Linked DNA regions of Coturnix japonica. The protein of the gene in region 1 interacts with the protein of each later gene in a pairwise test. Links are inferred from orthologs where the notes say so. Each region holds a gene or a part of one and is shown on either strand. Other genes may lie near its edges.

Evidence for each region.
Region 2: the proteins of UBE2I (region 1) and TFAP2A interact in binary tests that used the Homo sapiens proteins (3 or more experiments, as listed by UniProt). The link is inferred for Coturnix japonica from reciprocal best matches to the Homo sapiens genes UBE2I and TFAP2A.
Region 3: the proteins of UBE2I (region 1) and TRIM23 interact in a two-hybrid assay, tested with the Homo sapiens proteins (3 studies listed by BioGRID and IntAct). The link is inferred for Coturnix japonica from reciprocal best matches to the Homo sapiens genes UBE2I and TRIM23.
Region 4: the proteins of UBE2I (region 1) and RNF111 interact in binary tests that used the Homo sapiens proteins (3 or more experiments, as listed by UniProt). The link is inferred for Coturnix japonica from reciprocal best matches to the Homo sapiens genes UBE2I and RNF111.
Region 5: the proteins of UBE2I (region 1) and SIAH2 interact in a two-hybrid assay, tested with the Homo sapiens proteins (3 studies listed by BioGRID and IntAct). The link is inferred for Coturnix japonica from reciprocal best matches to the Homo sapiens genes UBE2I and SIAH2.
Region 6: the proteins of UBE2I (region 1) and HIPK2 interact in a two-hybrid assay, tested with the Homo sapiens proteins (5 studies listed by BioGRID and IntAct). The link is inferred for Coturnix japonica from reciprocal best matches to the Homo sapiens genes UBE2I and HIPK2.
Region 7: the proteins of UBE2I (region 1) and SMAD4 interact in binary tests that used the Homo sapiens proteins (3 or more experiments, as listed by UniProt). The link is inferred for Coturnix japonica from reciprocal best matches to the Homo sapiens genes UBE2I and SMAD4.

The regions. Positions count from the first base shown.
Region 1 is NC_029529.1:7,283,072-7,286,289, reverse strand, and holds part of UBE2I (SUMO-conjugating enzyme UBC9), read right to left. Parts: intron 2,143-3,218; 5' UTR 2,130-2,142; coding exon 2,064-2,129; intron 1,838-2,063; coding exon 1,754-1,837; intron 1,122-1,753; coding exon 1,049-1,121; intron 1-1,048. UniProt on the Homo sapiens protein: Accepts the ubiquitin-like proteins SUMO1, SUMO2, SUMO3, SUMO4 and SUMO1P1/SUMO5 from the UBLE1A-UBLE1B E1 complex and catalyzes their covalent attachment to other proteins with the help of an E3 ligase such as RANBP2, CBX4 and ZNF451.
Region 2 is NC_029517.1:65,928,489-65,932,627, forward strand, and holds the start of TFAP2A (transcription factor AP-2-alpha), read right to left. Parts: upstream 2,801-4,139; 5' UTR 2,600-2,800; coding exon 2,372-2,599; intron 1,705-2,371; exon of another isoform or gene 1,390-1,704; coding exon of another isoform or gene 1,363-1,389; intron 296-1,362; coding exon 1-295.
Region 3 is NC_029547.1:14,354,370-14,358,478, reverse strand, and holds the start of TRIM23 (E3 ubiquitin-protein ligase TRIM23), read right to left. Parts: upstream 2,801-4,109; 5' UTR 2,763-2,800; coding exon 2,664-2,762; intron 2,307-2,663; coding exon 2,144-2,306; intron 1-2,143. Other genes in the region: TRAPPC13 (trafficking protein particle complex subunit 13), read left to right, coding at 3,142-3,187.
Region 4 is NC_029525.1:5,872,561-5,876,858, forward strand, and holds the start of RNF111 (E3 ubiquitin-protein ligase Arkadia), read right to left. Parts: upstream 2,801-4,298; 5' UTR 2,689-2,800; coding exon 2,684-2,688; intron 1-2,683. Other genes in the region: SLTM (SAFB-like transcription modulator), read left to right, coding at 3,024-3,227, 3,820-3,907. UniProt on the Homo sapiens protein: E3 ubiquitin-protein ligase. Required for mesoderm patterning during embryonic development. Acts as an enhancer of the transcriptional responses of the SMAD2/SMAD3 effectors, which are activated downstream of BMP.
Region 5 is NC_029524.1:20,989,182-20,993,160, reverse strand, and holds the start of SIAH2 (E3 ubiquitin-protein ligase SIAH2), read right to left. Parts: upstream 2,801-3,979; 5' UTR 2,692-2,800; coding exon 2,290-2,691; intron 1-2,289. UniProt on the Homo sapiens protein: E3 ubiquitin-protein ligase that mediates ubiquitination and subsequent proteasomal degradation of target proteins.
Region 6 is NC_029516.1:56,122,499-56,125,998, forward strand, and holds part of HIPK2 (homeodomain-interacting protein kinase 2), read right to left. Parts: intron 2,869-3,500; coding exon 2,621-2,868; intron 1,621-2,620; coding exon 1,460-1,620; intron 1-1,459.
Region 7 is NW_015439872.1:57,509-61,803, reverse strand, and holds the start of SMAD4 (mothers against decapentaplegic homolog 4), read right to left. Parts: upstream 2,801-4,295; 5' UTR 2,763-2,800; coding exon 2,348-2,762; intron 1-2,347. UniProt on the Homo sapiens protein: In muscle physiology, plays a central role in the balance between atrophy and hypertrophy. When recruited by MSTN, promotes atrophy response via phosphorylated SMAD2/4.

The DNA.
Region 1 (3,218 bases):
ATCACTGTGACCAGTAATATTTTGGTTTAGGAATGGAAATTGATGGAAAAGTTCATAGTAGCTACACAATAAATAACTTTTTAAACCAATCCCATACTCAGAGCAATATACACTACTCTATAAAGAAAGATACTGCCTGTCACTTGTTCATTTTCCTCTCACTGTAGTATATTGAAAATTCCATACAAAAAATACCAAGTCTCAGGTATTACTGTTCAATTTCACTTTATGTAGCCTATAACCTGCAGAACTGATTGAAAAGGTCAGTTATGCAGCTTTCCCTACCGGCAGACTACATTCTAGCATTTCTTTAATCTTTATAAGCCTTAATTCCTACAGTGATTATTTCAAATAACATAAAGAACACTTGTTTAATGGTATATGAGAAGTCAATGTTACTGCAATTTTCTTATCCATTTTTACATTACAATTGTGTTTTGCTTATCAGCTGCTCAGTGAAGTTCAGTGGAAAAGCAGAAGCTGCATTAGCAACGAGTCTTAGCAGCCACACATCTTACTTTAAGCACACAAGGTTGAGTTCTAGAAGATTCCCTAACAAGTAAAACAAGTATTTTTTTTCTAATACCATGTACAATAAATAACACCTCCATATTTACAGTGAACAGATGAAAAGGTAGAAGTTGATGGAACAATATATTTTTACTGTGAATTCTCAGTGTAGTAGACTAACTTTACAGCATGAAAAAGCCCAAATACTGACTGAAGTCTTAGACTAACCATGCCTACCTGTTACTACCTCTAGTTTAGAGTGCTGCTCAAGTAGTGAGCACTTCAAGTGATGCTTCTGACAAGCTCTGAGGAAATCCAAAGCACAGTTCACCCTTCCCCTTCTAGCTTTGTTAGCACTGAGCACTTGCTCAGTTCATCACAAAATTCTAAACACCAAGTGTGGAGTGGGGAAATAAAGCAGCTTTCTGTAGGAAAAAGAACTCCACAAGGGAGTGAAAACTATCTGGACAACCTCACGGACTATTAAATACTGTTCTGCTATGTTTGGTGTGGGCTTTTTTGCTGTCATTTTTCTTACATTTTGGGGGTGAAGAAGGGTAGTCATCCTTGAAAAGCATCCGTAGTTTAAATAAACCTCCTTCCCATGGTGTCTATAAAAGAAGTTAAGGTGGTGTTTTGATTACAATAAGAGCAAGTTAAACATGGAAAAAAAACCCAAACAACAGTTTCCTAGACAAAGCACAAGGCACTTTTCCTACACCACTATTAAAGAGTTGTCCTACACTGCAGTATGCTGCCTACAATGAGGTAAGTGATCCCACTGATAGCTTTCTTTTTTATTAATTTATTATTATTATTTACATCAGTTCATTGTATTTTCTTTTCTCCACTTTACTACAGCTTCCAGGTGTCACTAAGTCATCAACAGATCTGATATAAATGTTGATAATGCAAGATACAAGTACAGTCATAGTATATAAAAATACAAACTAATATAAAAACCTGATAGTTTAAACCAGTGTTCAGTAAGAAGATAAACCACGATAATCCCTGACATTATGCAGAATAGCATCTCAATTTGCCCCATGCAGGATTATATTTCTTAAGGTGATCGGTGCCAAAAGCTGAACAGACCCACGGTGAACTATATCCAGTGCCATAACCCAAATATTTATATTGAACTACACAGAACTTATAGTCTCACAGTTCTCAGCATAACACACAATGACAGTTATGCTGGAAAGTGACATTAGTAAAATGTTAGGACAACAGAATGCCTTACCCCCTTCTTTCCTGGAATAGCACATTCCCAGTTCATTAGGTTCATTGTGCCATCTGGGTTTTTTGTAGGTACTGCTACAAATCCCTGAATTAAGGCAAAACAAAAACAAAAGGTACATCAGAAAACATGCTGAGAACACTCCATGCCATGCCTGATGTACACACAGTTATTTCTTTGTGCAAAACACAGTTTTATGCAGTTTCTTATTTAAAAATTAATTCAATTATTGTAACACATCAGGGAAAGAGAATTTGAACATGAATGTAACTGCGCAAGTCAGAAGGTTAACAGTGCTCATATATATACTTACAAATGGATGATCTTTCCTCCAGGCTTTTCTCTCCTGTGCAAGTCTACTTAGAGCTATGCCAGACATATTCGGAGTCCCTCTAAAACAAAAATAGTTACTTTTAGTACAACCTTATCACTATGTCAGCAACATTATGTTCTCCATATAAGAGTTCCGACCACTCAAGAAGTCTTTTGGCCTTCCATTTTTACCACAGCCACGACATGTTTTCACACACAGCAGATGTTAACACTAATAATGTCATAAAGTTACCCCACATCAACTACATCCCAGGTACTGGACTTAACCCAGTTTTACATGTACCCACTGTGTATTTCATATTTGAACCACACTGTCAAAATAATTTTCCAAGTATCTTGATAGCAGTAACACTATCACTGACAGGAGGAAAGGCTCAGATTTCCTGCTTGAGACTGACAAAGGCATATCCAGTTCTCTGTGACATCATGAAAGGTACCGCTCTCCTCTGAAGGCAAACGCCTGCACTGCTCCCATTTCTGGCCAACATGAGAATAAGAAACACCACTAATAGACCAAGTCCCTGCTAAAATCCAGGGTTCTACACAAAAGCAACAAGGGCACAGGATTTAGCAAACTGGAGTGATTCTGATGTCATGCCAAAAGAAGAGACAGAAATTAACTGAGGAAGTCAGTGAGCAGCCCACTCATCCTACAAGACAGATCTTTAATACCCATATAAACTGAGCAATCTTCCAGGATCTTCACTGTCTTAAGTATCAGCCAAGTACAGCGACCAAGATGTGACAACACGAGAACAATTCTAGACACAAATTCCCTCCCAGAATCAGGGGAGGATCCTCCACTCAACCACAAGAGCAGCTGAAGTGAGACCTTATTTTTCATGCTCAAACTGTACTAAACTCACCATCTCATTAACCATATCATTCCATTAGTGGTCAGAAACCTCCAGCAAAGATCTTTAATCCTCCTCCCCACTGCACTTCTACCCGTTCAAACAAGAACTAAAACTTGGTAGCTGTGAGTTCAGAACAGTCATCCTAACTACTTCATACAGCCACCAGAGCAGTATCTCGCTCCTAAATAAGCTTACAGAATGAGTGAAAGAAATATTATCACTCTATTACAGCAAACATTTACATAATCATTAAGGATTAATACATATACATAAACTCT
Region 2 (4,139 bases), on another chromosome or scaffold:
GCCCCCGGTGCGCGTGCAGCAAGCCCGGCTCCTGGCTCTGCCTTTGGCCCGGCCACGCCGGGTGCTGGGGCTGCGGTTGGGTGTGCAGGGAGTTGAGGCTGTAGGGGTCGTTGACGTGGGAGTAGGGGTCCTGAGACTGGGGGTAGATGGGCTGGTACGGAGGGGGGAAGTAGGGCGGCTGGAAGTCGGCGTTGGGGGTGTGCGAGAGCGGCGGGGCGCTGCTATACGGGGACTGCCCCACGGCCCCCAGCTGGGGCAGCCGCGCCGTCCCGTTGCTGGCACTGTCGTGGCGCTCCTGGGGGGGGGAAGGGGGGGCACGGGGAGGGGGTACGGGGGAGGAGGGGAGGGGAGAGAGGGGGAGAAAAGAAAAACAAAAGATGAAATCAAAACCGGTGCTCCTCAAAATCGCCCTCCAGTCATTTCACCCGCCGAGCAGCTCCTCGAGCAGAGGGAGAGAAGGGGGTCCGTCTGCCGCCCTCGGCAGCATTAACGGGGCTCGGACCATCGCCCCAACGGTGCCGGTGTAATAGCAGCGATAACCACAATAACGGGACCGTTCCGAACAATTCACAAATCGCTACGGCGGCGATCCGTGCGCTCCCGGCCGGCCGTGCCCCGGCAGCGGGCACTGAGACAACCCTTACACGGGGCCCTACGGAACCATAAGCCGAAACCGTAACCCAAAGCGCTGCACCGGCCCCGGCGCACCTCTACCGGGGGCCGCCGCCGTCACATCCCGGGGATAAAGCGGGAGAGCCGAGAGAACTGCCATCTTGCTGCGGGGGCACCGCTGCCCCTGCCAGCAACTTTGCACAACGATTCGGGGCGAAGGCGAGGGCCCAGAGTCTCCTCCGGGCCCCGTTCAAACGGGGGAGAGGAGGAGGAGGAAGGGATCGGAAGGAGAGAGACATAGCCCTCAGAAAGGCGGCGAGGGAAGGAGTAAAACCCCGCGGGCAGGTGCGGAGCGACGGGAACGGGGTGGCGGCTCCGGAGATCGGCAGAGCAAAAATAAAAGGAAAAATAAATTTAAAAAAAAAAAAAAAAAAAAAAAAAAAAGGAAAAAAAAAAAGGGGTGGTAATGGGGAAAAGAAAATAAAAGAGAAATGGAAAGGAAAATAAAAAGGAAAAAAAAAGAAAGGAAAAAAGAAACAAACCCCAACATAACCAAAGCAATCTCCCCCTCCCCCCCCCAACAAAAAAGCAAAGGAAAATAAAACCAAACGAGAGCGAAGAGGGCGAAGCCGAGGCGAAGCAGCAGAACGCAGGGCAGAGCCGCCTCGAGCCCGGCCGCCACCGCCGCCGCCAACAATAGCAGCGCCCCGCGCCCCGACCCCCGGCGGAGAGAAAGGCGAAGCCACTCACCATAGCCGAAAAACTGTGCACTAACATCTGCGAGGCGTCGGGGGATGCGCGGCGGGGAGAGAGGCGCGGGGCGGCCGCGGAGGGGCGCGGAGCTGCGCGGATGGACGCGGCCGGAGCCCGGCGCTACGCTCGGGGGGCAGCAGCGGGGAGCCGGGGCTGCTCCTGCTCCGCGCCCGCGCCGCCGGAATCCATCAGAACGCGCAGCGCCCGCCGCTGCCCTTCATCGGGTGCTGCAGAAGCTCTGCTTATCCTGGCGCGGGGCGAGAGGTAAAGTTGGTCGATTTTTTTTTGTTGTTTGTTTGCTTGTTTGTTTGCGGTTTTTTTTTCTCTTTTTTTTTCTTTTTTTTTCCCTTTTTTTTTTTTTTTTTTTTTTTTTTTTAGTATGTGGTGTTCGAGTTTCTCAATCCTTTTCTCGCTCTGTCTCTGTCTCGTTCTCCCTCTCCCCCGAGCTCCGGCCGCTCCGTTCGGGGCTCCTCACGCCCGCTCCTCCGCGCCTCCGGAGCCTCCTAAGCAGCGGATATTCATGACTATTAATATTACACGAATACTGTAAATAAGGGGAAGAATGCCGCAATCGAGCGGTGAAGCGCGAAGGCAACTCAAGGCAGAGCCCGTTCTAATGACGTCCATTGAATGAGGAATCGGTGTATCTAATCAGCGCCGGGAGAGAGGGAGGAGTGGGCGTAGAGAAGAGTGGAGAGAGAGACAAAAGGAAGGAGGGAGGGAGCGCGGCGCGCAGGTGGGGGACAATGCCGCCGCGTCTGGGAATCACAGGAAGGGGCCACATTTAAAAAAGGTTTGCGGGGGCATGCCAAAAGTGGAAAGAGAAAGAGAGCGGAGAGAGGCAGAGGGTGGAGCCGGAGGGTGGCGGCGGAGGTGGGAGAACCGTGCGGCGGGGGAGGGGGGGGGCGTAAAAAGGAGAAGGGGGGGGGGGGCGGGGATCCCCTTTCCTCTCTCCTTCCCTCCCTCCTCTTCCTCCCTCCCTCCTCGCCCCCAGCCCCGGGCGCACCTCGGGCTGCGGCTGCTGAGCGAAGCCGGGCTCGAAGGCGGCGGCGGAGGAGAAGAGCGGCCGCTCCCGGCTCCCGCCGCCCTCCGCCCCGCCGCCCTCGCGCGGGGGGGGCTCCGCCGCCGCCCCGTCCATGCCCCGCCGAGGGGTCCCCGCTCCGCTGTCGCCGCCGCGTCCTGGAAAGTTCTCCTCCTCCTCCTCTTCCTCCCGCACCTCGAGCCCCGCCAGCATCCGCCGCCCCCCAACTCGGAGGAGCCGGGAAAAGAGGAGGGAAGGAAGGGACGAAGGGAGGAAGGAGGGCGGGCGGGACGCGGGGGGAGAAGGAGAAAGCCGGGCACGGCGGGAGGGAGGCACGGCGAGCGCTCCTCCGTCCGGCCCAGACACGCCGGGCCCCGCGCAACCCGTCCGACTGGCTGCGCGACTTCGGCACCGCCCTCCGCGCCGCTCCTCTGCCCCTATCCCGGCCCCGGCTCCGCGCTGCGCCGGGCCTTGACGGCACGAAATCGGCGCCCGAGGGGGCCGGGGCCGAAGCCCCGACGGCAGCGACACGCGGGCGGCGCTGACCCACAACGGCGGCCTGGGGCGGAGAGGAGGTGAAGCTCTCGCCCTGCCTTGGGCCGAGGGATGGAATAATAATTATAATAGTCATAATAAAATAAAGAAATCTCCCCGACGCCCCGTTGCCGGACATCGCGTATCCGACAGCTCAGCCTCGCTCCGAGCAGCGGCTGCGTCCCAGCGCTCGGGGCAGGACTGAAGCACCGCATCCTTCGGTCCTCGCCGGTTCCTCGGCCCCTGCCCTACGCCGCGGCATCGCACGGCATCGACTCGGCCCCAAATTAGTACATTCGTTCGCACAGAGCGGTCCTTTTATTGATCCGTGTCGCAAGGAGAACTTTTGTGGAAGGTGTGAGCTTGGCTTTTGTTAGGGATTGGCATGGGATGCCCTCTTCGGTTTGTTCTTCTTCTCCTTTTCTTTTCTTTCTTTCTTTTTTAGTCACACCAAAAGACACTCGGAGCACGGACGCACACACACACGGTTCTGTCCTCAGACCCTAATTGTTGAGGTTGAATTTGCCGAGCGGTCCGTATACGACTGCTCAAAGGCCCTGAGAACGGGGAGGTCGCCCCCAGAGCCGCATTCGGGGCACGGCAGCACTGGGGTGGGGTGGGGGATTTCAGCGGCGGTCCTGAGCCTCTCTGCTCCCTTTGTCTCCTGGCCCTTCCATCCATCCATTTATCCGTCCGTCCATCCATCCATCCATCCATCCGTGCGGATGCGCTCAGCATCCCACAGAGCCGCACTCACAGCGCTCTCTCCCTACGGCTGGGACTGCTCCGGCTCTCGTTCCGCCGTCGTTCCCCGAGGGCTCCCATCTGCCCTGGCCCATTTCGGCCGAGCCGGTCGAGGGGGCACAACTCCTCCTCAACGAAATCCGCGGATCGGTGGATGCTGCGCGGCCCCACTCGCGGCTAAAGGCCCCGGGGCAGTGCCCGGCCCTGGCAGGCGCTTACCTCGCACTCCTCATACTTGATGTTATCCGTCAGCTTCCAGAGCATTTTCATGGGTCGGCGGGAGAGGGTCCGATCCCCCCGGCGCGGTGCTGCGGAGCGCGGCGGAGCTGTTGCAGAGCCGCTGTGCACTGAGCGCTCGGAGATCTCCCTCTAATGGCAGAAACTTTTCCCTTTTGCAGCGCTTTACCCGCAGCCGGAGCGTCTCATTAGCATAGCGACCGCGGCCCAATTGCTCGCCGGCTCCGACCCGCGCCCG
Region 3 (4,109 bases), on another chromosome or scaffold:
CGTCCAGTTTTGGGCACCTCACTGCAAGAAAGACATTGAGGCCCTGGAACATGTTCAGAGCTGGGCAACCAAGCTGGTGAGGGGTCCGGAGCACAATGGGGCCGTATGAGGAGAGGCTGAAGGAGCTGGGAATGTTCAGCCTGGAGGAGGCTCAGGGGAGACCTTATTGCTCTCTATAACTTCCTGAAGGGAGGTTGTAGTGAGCTGGGGGTCGGCCTCTCATGTCATTAGCGATAGGATTAGAGGGAATGATTTCAAGCTGCAGCAGGGGAGATTCAAGCTGGACTTAAGTATTGCTTCTCAGAAAGGGTGGTCAGACACTGGAATGGGCTGCCCAGGGAGGTTGTGGAGTCACCGACCCTGGGACCCTGGGGGAGACCCTGGGAGACTGGATGTTGTGTTGAGGGACATGGTTTAGTGGGAGCTATTGGTAATGGGTGAACAATTGGACTGGATGACCTTTTAGGTCTTTTCCAACCTTGGTGATTCTATGATTCTACTATTCCCCGAGGACTTACAGAACAGATTAGATGAAATGTTGCCATGACCCTCTTCTGCTTCAAACCATCAGGCAAAACATTTTCATTCACAGAAGTGCTTTGACTCTCAGGTTGTTTTGCTAATTTTTTTTTTTTTTTTTTGAGCAACAGCTGATCACAACATATCATTCTTCTTTCCAGAACCATCCAATAAGCTGCAAGCCTACTATCCTAGAAATGAAAGCTTCAGCTTTTCTTCCCACTACCTTTCTATAGAAGCCTTGCAAATTTAACACTTCACATTGTTCCATCAGAAACCACTAGTTGTTACGTAAGACGAAGAAACTTAATTTTTGGTTAAAACTGAAACTAAAATAAAAAATTACTGTAGGATGCTTCCAATTGTCAGGCGGAAATCACACAGTAAGAGCCACAAAGTGACAACGCCCCCTTACAATAAAAAGCTCTGCTCCCCATTTACAAGATACAAGCAGCTGGCTCACGCTGAAGTTTCACAACAGCAAGACTAACACACGCTCCCTATTAAAGCATACATACATAAACCCCATATAGATGTACAGTCACATAAAAAAATAAACTTCTTTCAATCCTCTTTCAATCACATACCATCCACACCTCTCCTACCACAAACAAAACTTTTTCACATCATGCTGATGTTTCTTCTGAGTTTGTTTCCATTTAATATTTCTTTAACTCTAGCAGACTATCACTTCAAAGTAAATACGTATTCATGCTGATTTGATAATTGTACATTTATTTCATGCATTACTACATTTGATATCTCCTGCTCCATGGATTCTCCGCCATCCTAATATTTTTATCCACTGTGCTATTCAAAGCTACTGCAGACAGCTCTGTTCACAAGTTAACCTTGACACAAATTCTTCTAGTAACTTGTCCTTTCTTTAACTCTATGTTGAATGCACAATCACTAGCATATGCCTGAAATAAACTCTCACTATGGAATAAACACCATATCTGATCTTTTGAGACACATTTCTAAAGTAATAAAATCCCTGTAGACAGCCTGCCAATTTAAGTTCTATCACCCTTAGAATTACCATATACTTTACAAACAGGTTTGTTATCATTCCACTGTGAATCCAGGCAAATTTGTTTGACAGAGAAACAACTTACGTAACTGTATGGTCTACTTAATGTTTAGGACAACAGGAAACTGATATCCTCTCAAGAATCATTAAACAGGGATTTAAAACAGACCAGTCACTTTGTAAACACAGGCTCACAAACAAGGTGTTTGCAAGCCTATATTCAAGGAGAAGATAAAAACTTATTACCTAATCTTAATGAGATCTCTCTCACTCCTCTCAGTGGAAAAAAAAAAAAAAAAAAAAAAAGCATTTCAGAGTACAGGAGGAATGCTGCAAAACAAATACAACTAGTACATTCATCTTATTTGGTTTTGTGTACTATCCACACACATTATCTAGCCATGCATTTTACTGTACTAAACCCTTCTCATCCATTTGCAGCCAAATCAAAACTATCAACAGTAAAAATTCTGATACCACACACTGCCAGCCTACAAACTCAAATCAGCCTTTATACATTTCCTGTTAAGGCTTGCTGGTCTTTTAAACATTCTGTTCGGTCTTAACAAATTCAGGCCTAAGCTCTCTTACCCAATTCAGTAACTTGCCGATCAAAAGGACAGCGGACAGCCCTGCCGTGAAGGGGAAGCCGGGTCAGGCAGTCATGGCACACAGTATGGCCACACAGAAGCAGCCGAGGAACCTTATCGCCTTGCAAAGAGAACACATCTTCACAGACTCCGCACTCGAGAACCTACGATTTTAGAAAAGATACCATCTGTCTCCAGGCTGGGGGGGGGGGGAAACAAGACAACGAAACAAGACAAAAACACAACGGAAGCAGCACGGAGCAGCACGGAGCAGCCCTCCCGCGAGGAGCAGGGACACAGCCCCCACCCGGGGCCTCCCCGAGCGCCTCCCGCCCCGCAGCCGTTCACCGGAGCCCCGCGGTGCGATGGAGGAGCAGCGAGGCCCTACCGCAGCGGCACACACCGCCTGAGGAAACCCTGCAGAGCGCTCGGTACGCCTCCTCCCGGGCCCAGCAGGCACCTCCGCCACAGCACAGCACAGCAGAGCACCGGCTCGAGAGCAGCGAGCGGCCCCGCCTCACCTTCACGGCGGCGCCGGTCGGGCCCCAGCTGTTCCCAGCTCCGCGGCCGCCGTCCGGCCCGGCCGCAGCCGCAGCCTTGTTTACAGCCAGGGCCGCCATCTTGGACGGGGCGGAGCACAGCGGGCCGCGCAGACAGCACCCCTTCCTCAGTGTGCGCATGCGCTCTCCTGCGCCTCCTCCGAGAGCGGAACTGCAGTTCCCGTCGTGCTCCGCGAGGCCGCCGCCTGGGCACCCTCCAGAACTACAGCTCCCAGAATGCACCGCCACGGGGCTGCCCGCGGGACCCGCCTTCCTCGGGACGGGGGATGTGGGCTGAGCGGGCGCAAGGCCCTGTGGGGGTTGTAGTTTGTGGCGCCGTGGCGGTGTATGACGGGGCGTGTGTGGAGCAGCTGTTTCCGGGTTCAGCGGTGCTCGCTCTGCCCGCGCTGCGGTTACGCGCTTCTCGGCTGGTTGCGGCGCTCGGGCCTCAGGCTGCACCATGGACGTGAACCAGCCCAAGCAGGAGCATCTGCTGGCACTGAAAGGTACCGACCCTGAGCCTGGGAGCGGCCCGGGGCCGAGCTGCTGCCCCTGAGGCACAGGAGGCACAGGACGGCTCGGGAGCGACGGGTGGGAGGAGGAGGGCTGCGCCACGGGCCTGGCGAACCGGGATCTTCACAGGCTTCAGCACTTCTAACTTCTTTTTTTTTTTACTTTTTTCTTTTTTTTTTTTTATTTTATTTTTCTTTTTTCATGTTTTAACATTATAGTTTCCTGATTTTTCTTCCTTTTATGGCTTTTACCCTCAGTGAGCAGCCGCCGGCTTGTATTCTTGATTCAGATTCTTGATTGAGAGAAAAAAATTGGTAGATCTCATGAGGTCACAGAGCTAGAGCTGATAGCAACAAAAATAATGGTCAGATTTCTATAAAGAAGCTGGTTGTGCCAACAGGCACTTTGGTGCCATCGAGTTAGGAACTGAAGCACTGAAAACCCTGAATGTAGCTGCCCCTGATTGCAGTCAGTGGAAGTAAATCTACCTTCCTCTTGAACAGTGCTTGTTGGAAATAAGCATCGCTATTAAGGTGGAGTAGGGAACAGCTGAAGCCTCATCTGCGTGTGTATTTTAAGTGAGATGGCTCAGCTACATAAAGCAGTGGAGGTGCATAGATGATGTTAGACTCCATATTCTGTTTGTTTATTTTCTTCACAGTGTTTTTTGGGAGGGTTTTCAGCATCTTATAGTCAGATCTATTAACCGTAATTCACATATCAGCAACCACTTTTTCATGCATGTGCACAGACAGTGTCTAAGCCAAAACATGAGTGCAGGAAATACTGTCAGCTGCTACTACCAGCACATTTTGTTAGTAACTTATACAAAGGAACAAGTTGTATGGCATGACAGTTTGCTTGCAAGAAATCAGTAGGATCCTTGGGCTTGTATTGAATTTGATACACTGCCCA
Region 4 (4,298 bases), on another chromosome or scaffold:
TACATCACAGGAGCAAAGGTTGGGAGTTTTATCATTGTTGCCATTTAAAAACCAACATGTGCACCAAACATTTCTCCTCTTTGAACAGATACCACTGTCTCCTAACCAAACTTAACCATAAACTTCAGAGCCTAACTGTACATAGCAGCCTTCTCTTTGAACATCAGTACGTGTTTCAAGAGACTGTAAAAGGACAAAGAGTATTTTTCTTTACAACAAACAAATCATCCAACTCCAGGTTAGAAAGCAGCCAATATAGACTAAAATTCCTCAGCAAATCCAAACAGATCTGATCATGAGGCATACCTATAAACTAATGTGAAAGATGCCAACCAACATGATTTTTCATTGACAGATCAAACCAACTTTATTTTCAGTTTTGTTATATGAATAAACTGAAGATCCCAGCTTTATTGAGACTTCCGACATTCTGTTCCATCAACATTTTTATGAGGAAACTTCCTTTTAATAGGAACTTTAAGAGGAAACTTAAAGAGGAAACTGGATAGAAACCACATAACCCCAGTCCCAAACTGTTTGTACCCTGAGCAATGCCGCTAGTAGTTCAGCATCAAACCTGCAGTTTATGTCCTGTAAAGGCCCTCATACCTCTGCATAACAGCTTAGACTGCAAGTATAAACCTGCACCTAACACCATGGTTAGAGGTACTACACATGGAGCAAAAGTCAACGATGAAGGCAGAAATCACTCCGAAAATGTATACATGTAATGAACAGAAGTGCAAAGAAATCAGGTGCAGAGAATCAGTTACCATAGGAAACGTTCAGGAAAGAAACCAACATGTAGAGTGGATCACAAACTGCATACGATAACACCTTCGTGAAGCTGGAAAAGGCACACAGCTCCCAGATGCAGCATTGGAAGTGCTGGCACTAAGGCAACTTGATGGAAGTGCAGCACAAATGCTGGAGAGGTGCAACAGAAAAAGGTCATCTGTTCTGGAACTCGGATCAAGGAAAAGAAAATGATCTGGATTTATACCCCAAAAATAAAGGAGCAAACAAAATGTGCTAGTAGTCTTCACATAAAAATGCTGCAAAGGAAAAAGGAATTCTGTCCTTTAGAGTCAGAGTAAGAACTGCAGCAAAAGGGATTTAGGAGGCATCTGAAAAAGGATAGTTAAGGGCTAGACTAGACGAGGAATGAGTGGCATCCCTAGTTAAGGCTTTAGGAACAGGTCAGACGAACATCAGTCAAGGCTGTTTTCCTAATGGCGTACCACGCCTCGAGGCAGGATAATGGAGACTAGGTATTAGTTTTAAGGTCACTGTTGGCTTTTTAGATCAACAGCTTCCACATCTACGTGACATCAACCAACAAATGTAGTGGTTGAGGTGAGCAGATACTGCTCTGAAAGCAGGTGAGCACTGCAGGTGTTAACCCACTGGTCATTCCCAGGACTGAGAACAGAACAGTGCAGTCTGTCCCTCCTGATACAACGCTGCTGCAGGGAGCTGGCAGTCCTGCCTGATATTCTGGTAGATCGCTGAACTCAAAGTAGAACTGAAACAAAAGCTGGACTTAGCCACGTTCTGTTTGAAAGTTACACCAACACCCACAAAATCTGTTTCTGTGGTCTAAAGTAAATCTAAGGAGTCCATCAGTTAACCTCAGCCATTTCTGATAAATCAGATGTTAGCGCAAGTGTTGTCACAGGGAACAGCATGAGCAAGAACACACACAGCACTCCCACTTCAGACTGCTCTTTTCACTAAATCTTCACCATGCCGAAGAGACATTTAAAATCCTCCCACACTCATAGAATCGTAGAATGGCCTGGGTTGAAAAGGACCACAATGATCACCGAGTTTCAACCCCCTGCTGTGTGCAGGGTCACCAACCAGCAGCCCAGGCTGCCCAGAGCCACATCCAGCCCGGCCTTGAGTGCCTGCAGGAATGGGACACCCACAGCCCCCTTGGGCAACCTGTTCCAGTGTGTCATCAGTACAAATTCCGTTTCAGGCACACGCTTAACTTCTGAATGGATGGGTGTCAGCCTTTGTTAAACGCTAACGACTGAGGTAAAGGATTATGTATGGAGGCTCTGGAAACAGGAGAGGAAGCTGTTCCCAACCACTCCGTCGGATTCCGGGCTTAACTTACACCAAAAAAAAAAAAGCGTGTAAGAGATTTATTAAGTGAAACGCGCACATCCCTGCAGTTCGATCAGTGCACATCGCTGAACGAAGGCAGCACAGCGCATCGCTGCGACGGAGCGGTTTCAAGGTTAGAGGATTCAATTCACCCCGAGCGACGGCTCGCAACCGGAGCGCGCCTCGCACGGCTCCCACAGCCCCACAGGCCGGGACACGCGGAGCTCCGGCCCGGCCCAGCGACGGGCCCCGCCGGCAGCACACGGCGGTAACGGCTCCGCTTTTGTTCCGCTCGGGGCCGACGCGGCGCTACGAGCGGGCGGACGAGCTGCGGCCCCGGTACGGCGGCCCGTGACCGCGAGCTCGTACCGACAAACGCCCGCAGCCGCCGCACCGTCACCTCCTCCGGGCCGGGCCCGCACCCGCGCGAGGCCGAGGATCCGAAGCGCTCGGCGGGGCCCGGCGGGACGCACCGCCCGGCTCCCGGCTGCGGACGCCCTCCCCGCCGGCCCGGCCCCGCCCTGCGCCTCCCGCAAGGCCTGGCCCAGCCCGCGCCGCCCCGGGGCACCTCATGGCTCCCAGCGCCGCTCCCTGAAGAAGCGAGAGCCCGGCCGGAGCCCAGCGCCGTCCCGTCCCGTCCCGTCCCGTCCCGCTGGGCGGGGCCGCACCGCGGCACTCACTCACTCACTCCCCGCCGCACTCACTCCCTCCCTCACTCATTCACTCACCCCCGCCCGCCCGACCCGCCCGCCGCCAACCTCTCGCGGGGAGGTCCGGAGCGCAGGTGAGCCGCACTGCGCCTGCGCCGCTCCTCAGGTCGGCCGCGGCCTCCATCCGGGTACCGCGCGGCCCCGGCAGGGCGGGGGGGTTTCATTGTGCGCGCGGCTGCCGCGCTCAGTCGCTCTAAGATGGCCGCCGCCGCCGCCGCCGCCTCGTCTCCTGCCGCCGCGGGGGCTCCCGGGGCGCCCAACGCTTCGGCGGCCGCGGCGCCGCCTCCCACCGAGAGCAAGAAGATCAGCGACCTGCGGGTCATCGACCTCAAGTCGGAGCTGAAGCGGCGCAACCTGGACGTCACCGGCGTGAAGACCGTGCTCATCTCCCGGCTCAAGCAGGTGAGAGCTCCGCGCGGGCCCGGCTGAGCGGCGCGGCCCGGGATCGGGATCGGGGGCAGCGCCGTGAGGGGGGCGGGGCCCTGTCGGTGTCGGTCCCGGTGTCGGTCCCGGTGAGGGGGGCGGGCCCGCTCCTCGTGCCGCTGCTGCCGTAGGGCTGAGGGTCGCCCGGCCCGGCCCGGCCCTGCCCGTGCTGCGGCGGCACGCCCTGCCCGGCCGCGGGGAGTGGAGGCGTCAGGCGGGGCTCGGCCCGCGGCCTTGAGGCCCTGCCGGGACCCGGGGCGCTGCAGCTCGCTGCCTGCTGCCCGCTCTGCCCCTTGGTGTCATTGCGGCGTAGCGATCCCTGAGGGAAACGTACCGCTGCTCGCTAAGTTGTCCTTCGGAATGTCACGAGAACGGCTTCAACAAACCGCTGTCGCTATCGTCAGGCTTTCCTCCCTCTCCCCCAGCTTTCGGTGGGAGGTTTAACCTGAAGTGTTTCATAAGATATTGTGTAGTTGAAAATCTAATAACTTGGCTCGTCAACGTCCTGAAGTGACAACTTATTGCTTCCAATTGAACTCCACTAAAAACTGTCGTTCTGTGTCCCGTTCAGGCTATTGAAGAGGAGGGAGGTGATCCGGATAACATTGAAATAACTGTCTCGGCTGACACACCCACCAAGAAGCCAGCTAAAGGCAAAGGTGAACGAATACCTGTTGATACACATTATAGACTGAAACACGTTTTTGTTGCATGCATCACCTTAAGAAAGAAGTAATGAGCTGTGCCCCCGGTTGTGCCTGTCCTTTACTGTTTGTGAGTTCTGTTCATAAAGCACTAAGTCTTCCGTACTGGCTTCCAGTCATGCTGTTTCTCTCATCATCTCTATTCCCCCCATCACCACCTGTTGTACCGGCTTGCTTCCCTTTCCTGCAGCATGCTCTGTCTGTCTCCCTGTGTCACATATCTGCTTATCACTGAGGGTGTGGAATGCATTAGGCCTTGCAAAGTACCCATGTGCTGGGTATATATGGGATGTGTTGGTCAGGTGATGTGTCATAAGGTGGTGGCTGTACAGTCTTTGGGTCCTGG
Region 5 (3,979 bases), on another chromosome or scaffold:
GGTTAATCTGCTTTCAGCAAACAGGGATGCTTTTCCTTTTCAACACCGAGTCGCTGTCTGCACTGAACACGTTTCTTCCTCACTACCTCTAAGGAGAAACGCGTCTTTTGCTCTGAGCAGGAGCACAGCTCCCCCCATCTGCAGACAGCTGGAGAGACTTCTGCAACTCTGCTCATGCGGTCCCGCCATCACAGCCCACGTGTGGCTGCCTACAGGAGGTAGGACGCTTCTTTGGGTCAGGGACTGTGCTCTGAGACCAAAGGTGAGAGAATGTTTGAAGGAACAAGACAATCTCTGGGGAAACACAAGTCTGGACAGACTTTTTGTAAAATGTTCAACTAAGCAAAGTCCAAATTCATCAAAGTTTAACAGCGTATTTTGGGGTTAAATGCAAACACAATTAGTTTCAGCTCAAAGAGTGAAATGCCTGAGATGCAGACGCCACAGTCCTCCTTACTGCAGCCAAATCACCCACACTGCAGCACAGTGCTACAACTGCTGGGACAGAAACGAGACCTTGTGCTTCTACAGAGCTTGCTTTATAAGCCATAACGTGTGCTCTGCTGCTTAATCCTCTGTGACAGGATTTATCCACCTGTGACAGGAGCACAGAGGTGTGCTGCGGTGCAACCAGGGCTCCTCCTGCTGCAGGCAGAAACCCACCATGCAGAGCACGGCTCCCTGCCGCTGGGTTCTATGCTTCCACTCTCACTGTTCTGCTGTTTTCACTCTACATTCATACCCCTGTTGGCAATGTAATCGCTTTGCACTTTGCTGAAGAACCGCTCTCGGTCTGACCCTGTTAGAAAAGCAGTAAGAACATGTAAGCTGCTGGATGGGCAAAAGCAAACGTCTGCGTAGTGTCAGCCTGTATCAGAAAGTGACCAGTGGTGAACACACAAGGAAGAGAGCTGAGGAAATAGCTGTGGTTTTTCCTTTGCTGTGACCCACCTCCTTCTGTTGGCTCCTGAACACACAGCAGCAGTTTTGTTTGGTGAGCAGGAGGTTGTGAACAGATTCACGGAGCGCTCTGGGTTTGTAAGGGACTCTCACAGATCTTCTGGGAACACAGAGCACTTGTTGCCTTCATGCTGTTTGGCACATGTCACCGATATTTACCATATCCTCATTCAAACCAAAGAGCCTGTTGGTCTTTCCCTGCGTGCAGGTCATATGATACCGCCCATCTCATTGACGGCTCTACCTTTTCCACTTCTCCTGTGTCCTTCCTGAGGCAGGAGCGCAGGGTGCAGGCAGTGCTGGTGCACCACAAATGCCGGAGCTGATGTGACTGCTCCGTGCTCTCACATTGCCTTTCTCTCGCTCCCAGCATTCCACTTTTACGAGTACCTTTCGTCACAGCACTACTTGCACCACATTCACCTTCCTAAGAGGAAGCAGGCAGCCCTGCAGCCATCACCACATAATGACTTAGCATTCCGTGTTGTTGCTATGTACGTCACTTCACTCGCGTTACCCTGGACTTCCCCTTACAGGTAATGTGAGTGCCTGAAAGCATTCTGAAAACATTGGCTAAGCTTGAAGGTGCTCAGCAGAGCCAGGTCAGTGAATGAAGGCAGGGTGTATATGGGATTAAAGCACCTTGTCTGAAGCTGCAGGGGAAATCTGCAGCAGAGCCGGGAATGACACGCTGAGTCCATCCCTGCTCTTCCCTCCCAGCTGCACAGCGAAGCAGCGGCGGCCCGAGGCTGCAGTGCCTGTCCCTGCGCCCGGCCGAAGGGGGCAGCGCTCAGTGCGATGCTGCCGGAGCCCTTTCAATGGATACACAACCTCACTACGCCTAGTGGTTCTAAAAGCAAAACATTACGGTTGGATGTGGAGTGCAGAAAGGATTCCACATCTTGCCCTCGGACTAAACATAAAGAGTACAGCGAAATGAATCCTCACTGGATTCCCTTTTCTTCAGAGGGATCAGAACCACAAGAAGGCTCAGAAATGGGGCAGCAGCTCCAGGCAGAGGTGACAAGTTAAAGGATCTCAGCAGGACCCTCCCTAAGGGAGGTGTCCCTAACCCTGCCCCAGCTCTCGGGACGCAGAGCATCGCTGCTCCTATGGAAGCTGCGAAGAGCGAGGTTTCTTTTCCAAAAGATGAAGCCCTGCGTCCCGCCCTGTGTCCGCATTAAGTCAGCTCCGTACCTACGAGCGCATTTACCACTTGCGCTTATTTCAACGATGAGAGAAAACGAGTTGTTTTTGTCACGTCTGAAATAGGAGCAGGGCTGTGAGCAGAAAGGGGGTCCCGTCCAACCCGGCGCCCCGTCCGCTCACCTTGCAGGGGAAGAGCACGGCCGAGGCCACCTTCTCCATGGCCAGGTTCCTGATGCTGGGGGTCAGCGAGCCCCGGCAGGTGGGGCAGAGGCTCAGCTTCTGCCGGCATTGCTTGCAGACCAGGTGCCCGGCCTGGCACTGCAGGATGGGCGGCAGCACATAGTCGAAGCACACGGGGCACTCGAACAGCGACGTCAGCTCGTGGTGCTGCGGAGACACGGGCCCGCCCGGCCCGGAGAGGACGGCGGCGGCCGCGGGCACGGCGGAGGATCCGGCACCGGACGCGGCGATGGTGGCGGCGGCGGGAGCGGGCGCGGCGGCGGCCGGGGCGGGGGCGTGCGGCGGCGGCTGCTTCCCGCAGGGTTTGTTAGAGCCCGGCCCGGCGGACGAAGGGCGGCTCATGGCGCCGCGCTGCCGCCACCATCGGGCCGCGGCTCTCGGGACCCGACGCGCCCGCCCGGAACGCTCCGCTGACGCAAGAGGCGGCCGCGCGCAGCCTCCGGCCCGGCCCCGCCGCAGCGAGCATGCTCCGGGGGACGGGCGGGGCGGGGAGCGGAGCGGGGCGGCGGGGGGAGCGGGGGAGGAGGAGGAGGAGGAGGATGAGGATGAGGAGGAGGAGGAGGCAGGGGAGCGCCGCGCCCACGGCTGCGGTGCCAGGACGGAGCGGGCGAGACTCGGGAGCGGTCAGCGGCGGCCCGAGCACCGTGCCCCGCACCGCCCCGCCCCGCCCGGTACGCTGCGATGCCGGGAGAGAACGCGGCTCCGTCCGCCGGGCCCGTCCGGGGCTGCGGTAACCGAGGGCGCTGCGGTAACCGAGGGCGCTGCGGTAACCGAGGGCGCTGCGCTCCGCGTCCGGCCGCGCTGGGATGAAGGGGCGCCGGTGGCGCTGACGCCCCGCGGGGCTGAGGAAACCCACCGGGCGCCGTTATCCGCGTGGGCTCGGGCCCGATCCCTGCCCGTGCCGGCCCTCGTGAGGACCGCTGAGCCGCCGTGCTGAGCGCGAGCAGCGGCGGAGGAGCGCGGCTCCTCGCGGGGACGGGACGGGGCGTGAGAGCGGAGCGAGCGGGAGGACGGAACGATGAGAGATGGGTCTGATGGAGAATGGAACAGTGCTGCAGCGCTGCTTGGGGGCGGAGGTCGGGTAAAAGAAATGGGGCTGTTTTCATCCCCCCCGTAACAGAATGTTGAAAATAAAACACCGGTTTAAACGCGTTGTGTTTTGGTAACGGAGGAGAAGTGAGGACGGCCCGGGGGTGGGAATGTCCCCGCGTCCCTTTCATTTGCCGGCGGGGCTGAAGAAGGAAGCGGGCAGAGCCGGGGCTGAAGCTGCGCGCTTCCCTGCCCGCTGCCGTGGTTGCTGTCTGTCCCTGCGCCGGGCTGGATGCGGCTCTGGGCGCACAAAGCGCTGCGTGGTGCCGCTGAGCAGCGCAGCGGACGGGGCGGCCATGAACAGGGCTGTGGTTTGAATTCCCCGTCAGCTCATCGGGCACATGACATACAGCATTTTCCCGAGAGTTCTGCTGCTGACTTGACTCCTCTTGCCCTTAAATGAGCAACGCTTTCCTCCGAGGTGTGGCTGCACTTCCCAGAATGGTGCTGTTATCGCTGCTCGGGCGTGCACCATGTGTGACTCATTGGTGGCTGTGCGCCCTGCGAGGAGTTCCACTGAGACACTGCCCGTGCTCTCATT
Region 6 (3,500 bases), on another chromosome or scaffold:
ACCTCTAAACTGAGGGCACAATTCCCCGCTGTGAGTCATGACCTGCTGATACAGCTCCCATGGAGACCCAGCCTCGGATGCTTGGGTCCTAAGAACACTTCCTCAGCTCCAGTCACTCACACGACACATAGCTTTCGTTACTGAACTCTCTGATGACATAATACAGTGCACAGATATCTTAGGGGAATTAAATCACCTAGCTATGCCTGGAACAGGCCATTGATTTTTGGTCAGCTTGGATCTTTGAGGTTATCATTTCCAGGAGAAGTAAAATAACTACTTTATTTTTTAAAGATAAAACTCTCTGCTCGATCAGATCCTGCAGGTGCTTGGCACCCTCATCTAATCAGCTGTAATTAGTTTAGCATAGGCAACTTCTTGCAACGGGACAGAAACAATGTACTTTTTCACACATCTCTTCAGGTGCCATGGAATTCAATCAGTCATTTGTAATTATGGTGTAGTGAGAATATTAAATAACAAAAAAGTAGGAATTAGAAGGCAGGAAGAGCATCGCTCCATGTTATTTCCTCCTAGTTTTCCCACTCTTTTCATCCTTTTAAGAGCTCTCTGTGCTCTAACTGGCTTAAAATATGGCAGCCACACGTCTCCTTTACTCTTAGAAACAGCATCTCACCCACTGCCTCCATTTTTACTGGCTTTTATTTCAAGCTAGTTCAAATTTCAACTACATTTTGAGGGGAGGGGACATTTTTTCTCCCACAAATTATTTTGTTTTAAACCAGTTGTGCTATGGAAGCAAACAGGCACCATTCTTTGAGCTCTCCAGACATTCTCCTCTGGAAAGTGGATAACTGCTGTAACTTCCCTACTCATCACCTCACTTCAGGAAGAGGGAGGCCCCAGGTGCTGTCTGTGACAAGGGCCTTTTTAAAGGAAGCTCCTGGAGAGTCCCCTGGGCACTCTGATCACAGACCACGAAACATCTTGAGAACTGCCTGATACCAAGCAATGGGATTTTACCCAGGTCTTAGCATAGATTTATCATGGAATGGATCAAACTCGTTATGCAACGCGTGGTCATGTTTATGCTTAGAGGTTCAGTTTTGCCTTGTCACATCTGATGGAGACTTTCCTTGAAAGATACTCTCCCCGTACTTACCTACAGCTACAGAGACTTCAGACTTTCCTGCACAGTCCTGTTTCACCACCTTGTGTCTGTGCAACTGCACCCTCCTCTCTTACACCATCCCCACTCACACTCTTAGATCATTTGACTTCCAAACACATGTTAAGAATACTGCCAGCCCACTCACAGCTGGGATCTGCACTGCCTCTACTGCCAGAGCTAGAAGATCAAGCTCTGCAATGAAGCTGAAACAAGTCCATCAAACTCGAGGCCCAACTATCATTAGGTTAGAAAAGGACAGCCCACGCTGGAGCAGCAGTGGGTTGCAGCTGGGTGATACATCACCAAAATCTGTCTCAATTGACTTACCTGGCTTAGATTAAGAGGCTGCTGCTGCTGGAAATGTGCTCCTGGTCGCTGCTGCCTATAGGCAACGGCTCCAGACGAGCTCCCTGAAGAGTGACCGCTGGTGGAGGTCACGGTGCTGGAGGACTTGGACTTGTAGGAAGATGAGTGGTGACTGGTGGTGACTGTGCCAGGAAAGGAAACACATTTGTAGCTTACATCACATTCTTTAATTGCTCACCCTACCTTTTCCTCACTGAGTCTCCTCCAGAGTGGCTTTGAGGAGGAGACATAAAACAGAAGTAGGATAAGAAAATGGTTTCTCTTTAGAGATACCTCAGCAGTACTTCTTATACTCAAACCAGACTGTCATCCTAGAGGCAGACAAGCAGATCTGGACCCCAAACTAGCCCTGGAGAAGGCTTTAAAGATCCTTCAGAAGTGTGAGAAACTGTTCTGCCAGTAGAACTGTACGATGCAGGTACAAATCCCAAAGAGAGGAAGGAAAGTACACTGTGCACAGCACAAAAAAAGCCCTGGCTTGACTGACCTCATGGTGAGTAGGAAGGGAGGGAGAGTGAGCTAGTGGGGAGCTCACCCTCTGAGCCTTCGTGTTCACCAGCAGTGCACCAAAAGAAAAGACTGTCAAATAACACAAAGCCAATTGCTTTGGGCCAAACTTCCACATAAGCCCCTTTTCAACATATTATACTATCTAATACTGCAGAGGCTCTGGATGAGCAAACCTCATCAGTCCACAGTGAAGATGCTGGGGAATTGTTTTTCCCAGAAACGTCAATAAATTCAGATGAAAATGCACATGTGTTTTCAATCTTTTATGTGTTGTAAAGTAAACCTATGGAAAGGCAGGGAAGCAAAGGTTCACACTTGCATTTGGGAGCCTTTCCTTTCAAATGTTGAGCTAAAGACTGCATTCTGCTCTTGGGTTTGCACAGAAGTAACTAGGAGTAACACTTGCCCCCATGACTCCTGAATGTACCAAGGCACATAAGCAATGCAATACAGCTCCCAAGAACAGATGTGTCACTTGAGAGCAGGGCAGGAGCACGGTTTCTTTGGAAAACAAAACAAACAAACAAACAAAATGAAACCGAACAATGAGATTCTTCCAAGATAAATCATTTATTTCTTACTAATTCTCTTGACGGAAGAGGTGCAATTTACCTGGTGCCAGGCTATCACACTCTACCAACACCTCACTGGCCTGGGTTTTCAGTGGTGGCACGATGATCGTTCGGGGGTTCCCACTGCAGTGAGTCTCTGGAACCCCTTTGGTGTCGTATGTGTTCCCATTATTCTGTCCTGCGCGATGTTGCGTGGCATAAGGGCTGTTGTTGCTGGAGGAATCGGAGTAGGGGGAATCATGCACAGTGACACAGCTGATGACGTTCTTCCTTTGCTTGGACAAGGTGCTGAAACACAAGCACACAAATGGAAACAGTGAATGGGGAACTACCGACTTGGAAGCCATCAGAAGACTCTGCCCACGGCAGGCAAGCTCTGCAAAGGCAAAGCACTCCCTGCGGTCCTTCACCAGTTGGAGGCTGCTTATGCCGAATTCTGGGCTTCGAAACTCACTCATTACTATTCTAGGGAAGCCTTTGTGGAGGTCAAGGAGTGAGTAAGACATTGTGGATGGATCTTATATTCACACTGCTTAGAATAGCACTGAATCAGACTGCCAGATTTATTTTCGGCCTGCTTTTTATATACGTGTGCAGTAGAGACCCAGCAGTTATACTATGCTTTGTTGCAAGTCTCACCACCCACACAAAAATGTGGTGGTTTCTCCCAGCCTTCCAGCAATGATTTAATAATAGATGCTACGGATTTTCATGATTAAATCCCATGAATCTATAAAATACACTCTTTTCTATTTACTAATATACTGCAGCGGGCATATATTTTCAAGAAGAATTTGAAACTGAGGAATGAATGAAGAAAAAACGAGCAAAGTATGTGTTGCCATACAGAAGCTCTATCGTTTCTTCTCTTTTTCCAAATAAGCACTGGGTCTCCTGGCTCTCACATGGATTATCAAGGT
Region 7 (4,295 bases), on another chromosome or scaffold:
ATAGGATCCAATAGGACTCTATAGGACCCAATAGGAACCAATGGGGCTCCATAGGAATCAATAGGACCCCATAGAACTCAATAGGACCCCATAGAAACCAATAGGACTCCATAGAACTCAATAGGACCCCATAGGAATCAATAGGACCCCATAGGATCTAATAGGATCCCATAGGATCCAATAGGACCCCATAGGATTCAATAGGACCCCATAGAACTCAATAGGACCCCATAGGATCTAATAGGACCCCAATAGGACCCCATAGGATCTAATGGGACCCCATAGAACTCAATAGGACCCAATAGGACCCCATAGGATCCCAATAGGACCCTATAGGACCCCATAGACCCCATAAGACCCCATAGGACCCCATAGAACTCAATAGGATCCCATAGGAACCAATAGGACCCCATAGGACCCCATAGGATCCCAATAACACCCTAATAGGACCCCATAGAACTCAATAGGACCCCATAGAACCCAATAGGACCCCATAGGATCCCAATACGACCCCATAGGACCCCATAGACCCCATAGGACCCCATAGGATCTAATAGGACCCCATAGGATCTAATAGGACCCCATAGACCCCATAAGACCTCATTGGACCCCATAGGAACCCATAGAACCCAATAGGACCCATTATAAACCCCGTAGTCCCTTACGCAAATTGCGTAACTCCTCCCCATTATAAACCCCTATTCCCTTACGTCAATTGCGTAACCCGACTCCCACTTACGCAAGCTCCGTATCTCCCCCCCATTATAACTACCGCACTCCCTTACGCAAATTGCGTAACCTGAGCCCTCACTTACGCAAATTGCGTAACTCCCCCCATTCTTTCCTATGGCCTCCCTTACGCAATTTACGTATCTCCCCCCATTAAATCATAGGACCCTATAGAACTCAATAGGACCCCATAGGACCCTATAGGACCCCAATACGACCCGATAGGACCCCATAGGACCCCAATACGACCCCATAGGACCCCATAGGACCCCATAGGACCCCATAGAATCCCATAGGATCCAATGGGACCCCAATGATACGGGTTGACACACACACTGTCACACTTGAGATCGAACGCGTACTGACAATACTTGACGTGCTTCAACCCCATAGACCCCATAGGACCCCATAGGATGCAATGGGACTCCATAGGACCCCATAGAAATCAATAGGACCCCATAGAAACCAATAGGACTCCATAGAACTCAATAGGACCCCATAGGAATCAATAGGACCCCATAGGATCTAATAGGATCCCAATACGACTCAATAGGACCCTATAGGACCCCATAGAACTCAATAGGACCCTATAGGATCTAATAGGACCCCAATAGGAACCCCATAGACCCCAATAGGACCCTATAGGAACCCAATGGGAATCAATAGGACCCCATAGAGCCCCATAGGACCCCATAGAGCCCCATAGGACCCCATAGGATCTAATAGGACTCCATAGAACTCAATAGGACCCCAATAGGACCCCATAGGAACCCATAGAACTCAATAGGACCCTATAGGATCTAATAGGACCCCATACACCCCAATAAGACCCCATAGAAACCAATAGGACCCCATAGGAATCAATAGGACCCCATAGGAATCAATAGGACCCCATAGAAACCAATAGGACCCCATAGAACTCAATAGGACCCCATAGAACCCCATAGAACCCCATAGGACCCCATAGGACCCCACAGACTCCATAAGACCCCAATAGGACACCATAGGACCCTATAGGACCCCATAGGATCTAATAGGACCCCATAGGACCCCATAGGACCCCATAGACCCCAATAGAACCCCAATAGGACCCCATAGGCCCTAATAGGACCCCATAGAGCCCCATAGAACCCAATAGGACCCCATAGAACTCAATAGGACCCCATAGAACTCAATAGGACCCCATAGAACTCAATAGGACTCCATAGAAGCCCCTTACGCAGTTTGCGTAACTCCCCCCCCATTAACCACCATAGTCCCTTACGCAAACTACGTAACTTCCCTTACGCAACCTCCGTAACTCCCATTATCGAACCCCCCGCCCTTACGCAAACTGCGTAACTCCTCCCATTGGCTCCCTAGTCCCTTACGCAAATTGCGTAACTTCCCCTACGCAAACTCCGTATCTCCCCCATTATTTCCTATGGCCTCCCTTACACAAATTGCGTATCTCCCCCCATTATATCATAGGACCCTGTAGGACCCCATAGGACCCCAATACGACCCCATAGACCCCAATAGGAACCCATAGGACCCAATAGGACCCCATAGACCCCATAGGACCCCATAGGACCCCAATAGGACCCCATAGGACCCCATAGGACCCCATTGTACTCACCGATCCCAGGCGACACCACCCTCTCGTAATGATACGGGTTGACACACACACTGTCACACTTGAGATCAAACGCGTACTGACAATACTTGACGTGCTTCAACTCATTCTTATGCAGGTCGGGCCACCTCCATAACCTCGCATAGATCACATGGGGGAACCCTTTCCTCCCAGCCACCTGCAGCCTCCCGTCTAATGTACGTTGTATAGTCACGCATTTACTCGGGTGAGCCCCGTTGGTCGTAATGGCGGCGATGAGAGAATCCAGCTCGTCTTTCTTCTCCTTCAGCTTCTTAACGAGGCTCTCGATGGCTCGTTTGGCGAAGGTCTCGCTCTCTCCTCCCTGTCTGTGGCACATTAAGCTGTGCACGATGCTCAGACACGCGTCGTTGCTGCTGGGGGGGGTGGAGATGGACATGGCGGACACCGGGAACGATGGAGAGCCCGATGGAGGCCGCTAAGATGGAGGGACGCAGCACATCCGGGTACTTAGGGGGGGTTCCGGGTTGGGAAGCCGCAGTACATCCGGGGATTTGGGAGGGACTTCCGGGTTTGAGTTACATCCGGGGATTTGGAGGGACTTCCGGGTTTGAGGGACATACGGGTACTTAGAGGGACTTCCGGGTTTGAGTTACATCCGGGGACTTCCGGGTTTGGGAACCCGCAGTACATCCGGGGATCTGGGAGGGACTTCCGGGTTTGAGTTACATCCGGGCATTTGGGAGGGACTTCTGCATCCGGGAACTTAGAGGGACTTCCGGGTTTGAGTTACATACGGGTATTTAGAGGGGGCTTTCGGGTTGGGAACCCGCAGTACATCCGGGGATTTGGGAGGGACTTCCGGGTTTGAGTTACATCCGGGGACTTAGAGGGGACTTCCGGGTTGGGAAGCCGCAGTACATCCGGGAACTTGCAGGGACTTCCGGGTTTGAGGGACATCCGGGGACTTACAAGGGACTTCCGGGTTTGAGGGACTTCCGGGTTTGAGTTACATCCGGGGACTTGGAGGGGCTTCCGGGTTTGAGTTACATCCGGGGACTTAGAAGGGACTTCCGGGTTGGACGCCCGCAGTACATCCGGGGACTTAGAGGGGACTTCCGGGTTTGAGTTACATACGGGTACTTAGAGGGGACTTTCGGGTTGGGAGCCCGCAGTACATCCGGGGATCTGGGAGGGACTTCAGGGTTTGAGTTACATCCGGGGACTTACAAGGGACTTCTGGGTTTGAGGGACTTCCGGGTTTGAGTTACATCCGGGGACTTCCGGGTTGGGAACCCGCAGTACATCCGGGGATCTGGGAGGGACTTCCGGGTTTGAGTTACATACGGGTACTTAGAGGGGACTTCCGGGTTTGGGAGTGAGCATGAGTTACATACGGGGATTTAGAGGGGACTTCCGGGTTTGGGAACCCGCAGTACATCCGGGGACTTGCAGGGACTTCCGGGTTTGAGGGACATCCGGGGACTTGGAGGGACTTCCGGGTTTGAGTTACATCCGGGGACTTCCGGGTTGGGAACCCGCAGTACATCCGGGGATCTGGGAGGGACCTCCGGGTTTGAGTGACATCCGGGGACTTGGAGGGACTTCCGGGTTTGAGTTACATCCGGGGACTTCCGGGTTGGGAACCCGCAGTACATCCGGGGATTTGGAGGGACTTCCGGGTTTGAGTTACATACGGGTATCTGGAAGGCACTTCCGGGTTTGGAGGTGCGCATGCGCAACATCCGGGCACTCGCGGCGCGGCCTTAAGAGCCGCCTCCATGTTGCGTGCGCACAACGGGGAGCGGCCTAAGCTACATCCGGGTCTTGAGGCGTCGTGGACACACGGTAAGACGTGACGTCATCAACCGGGAAGGGCCAAGATGGCGGACGGGCTTTGTCCGGTGTTTCTAGGCCTTAAAATGACGGAATAATGCGAAAGAACTAGTGCGCATGCGCGACACGCGGGTCT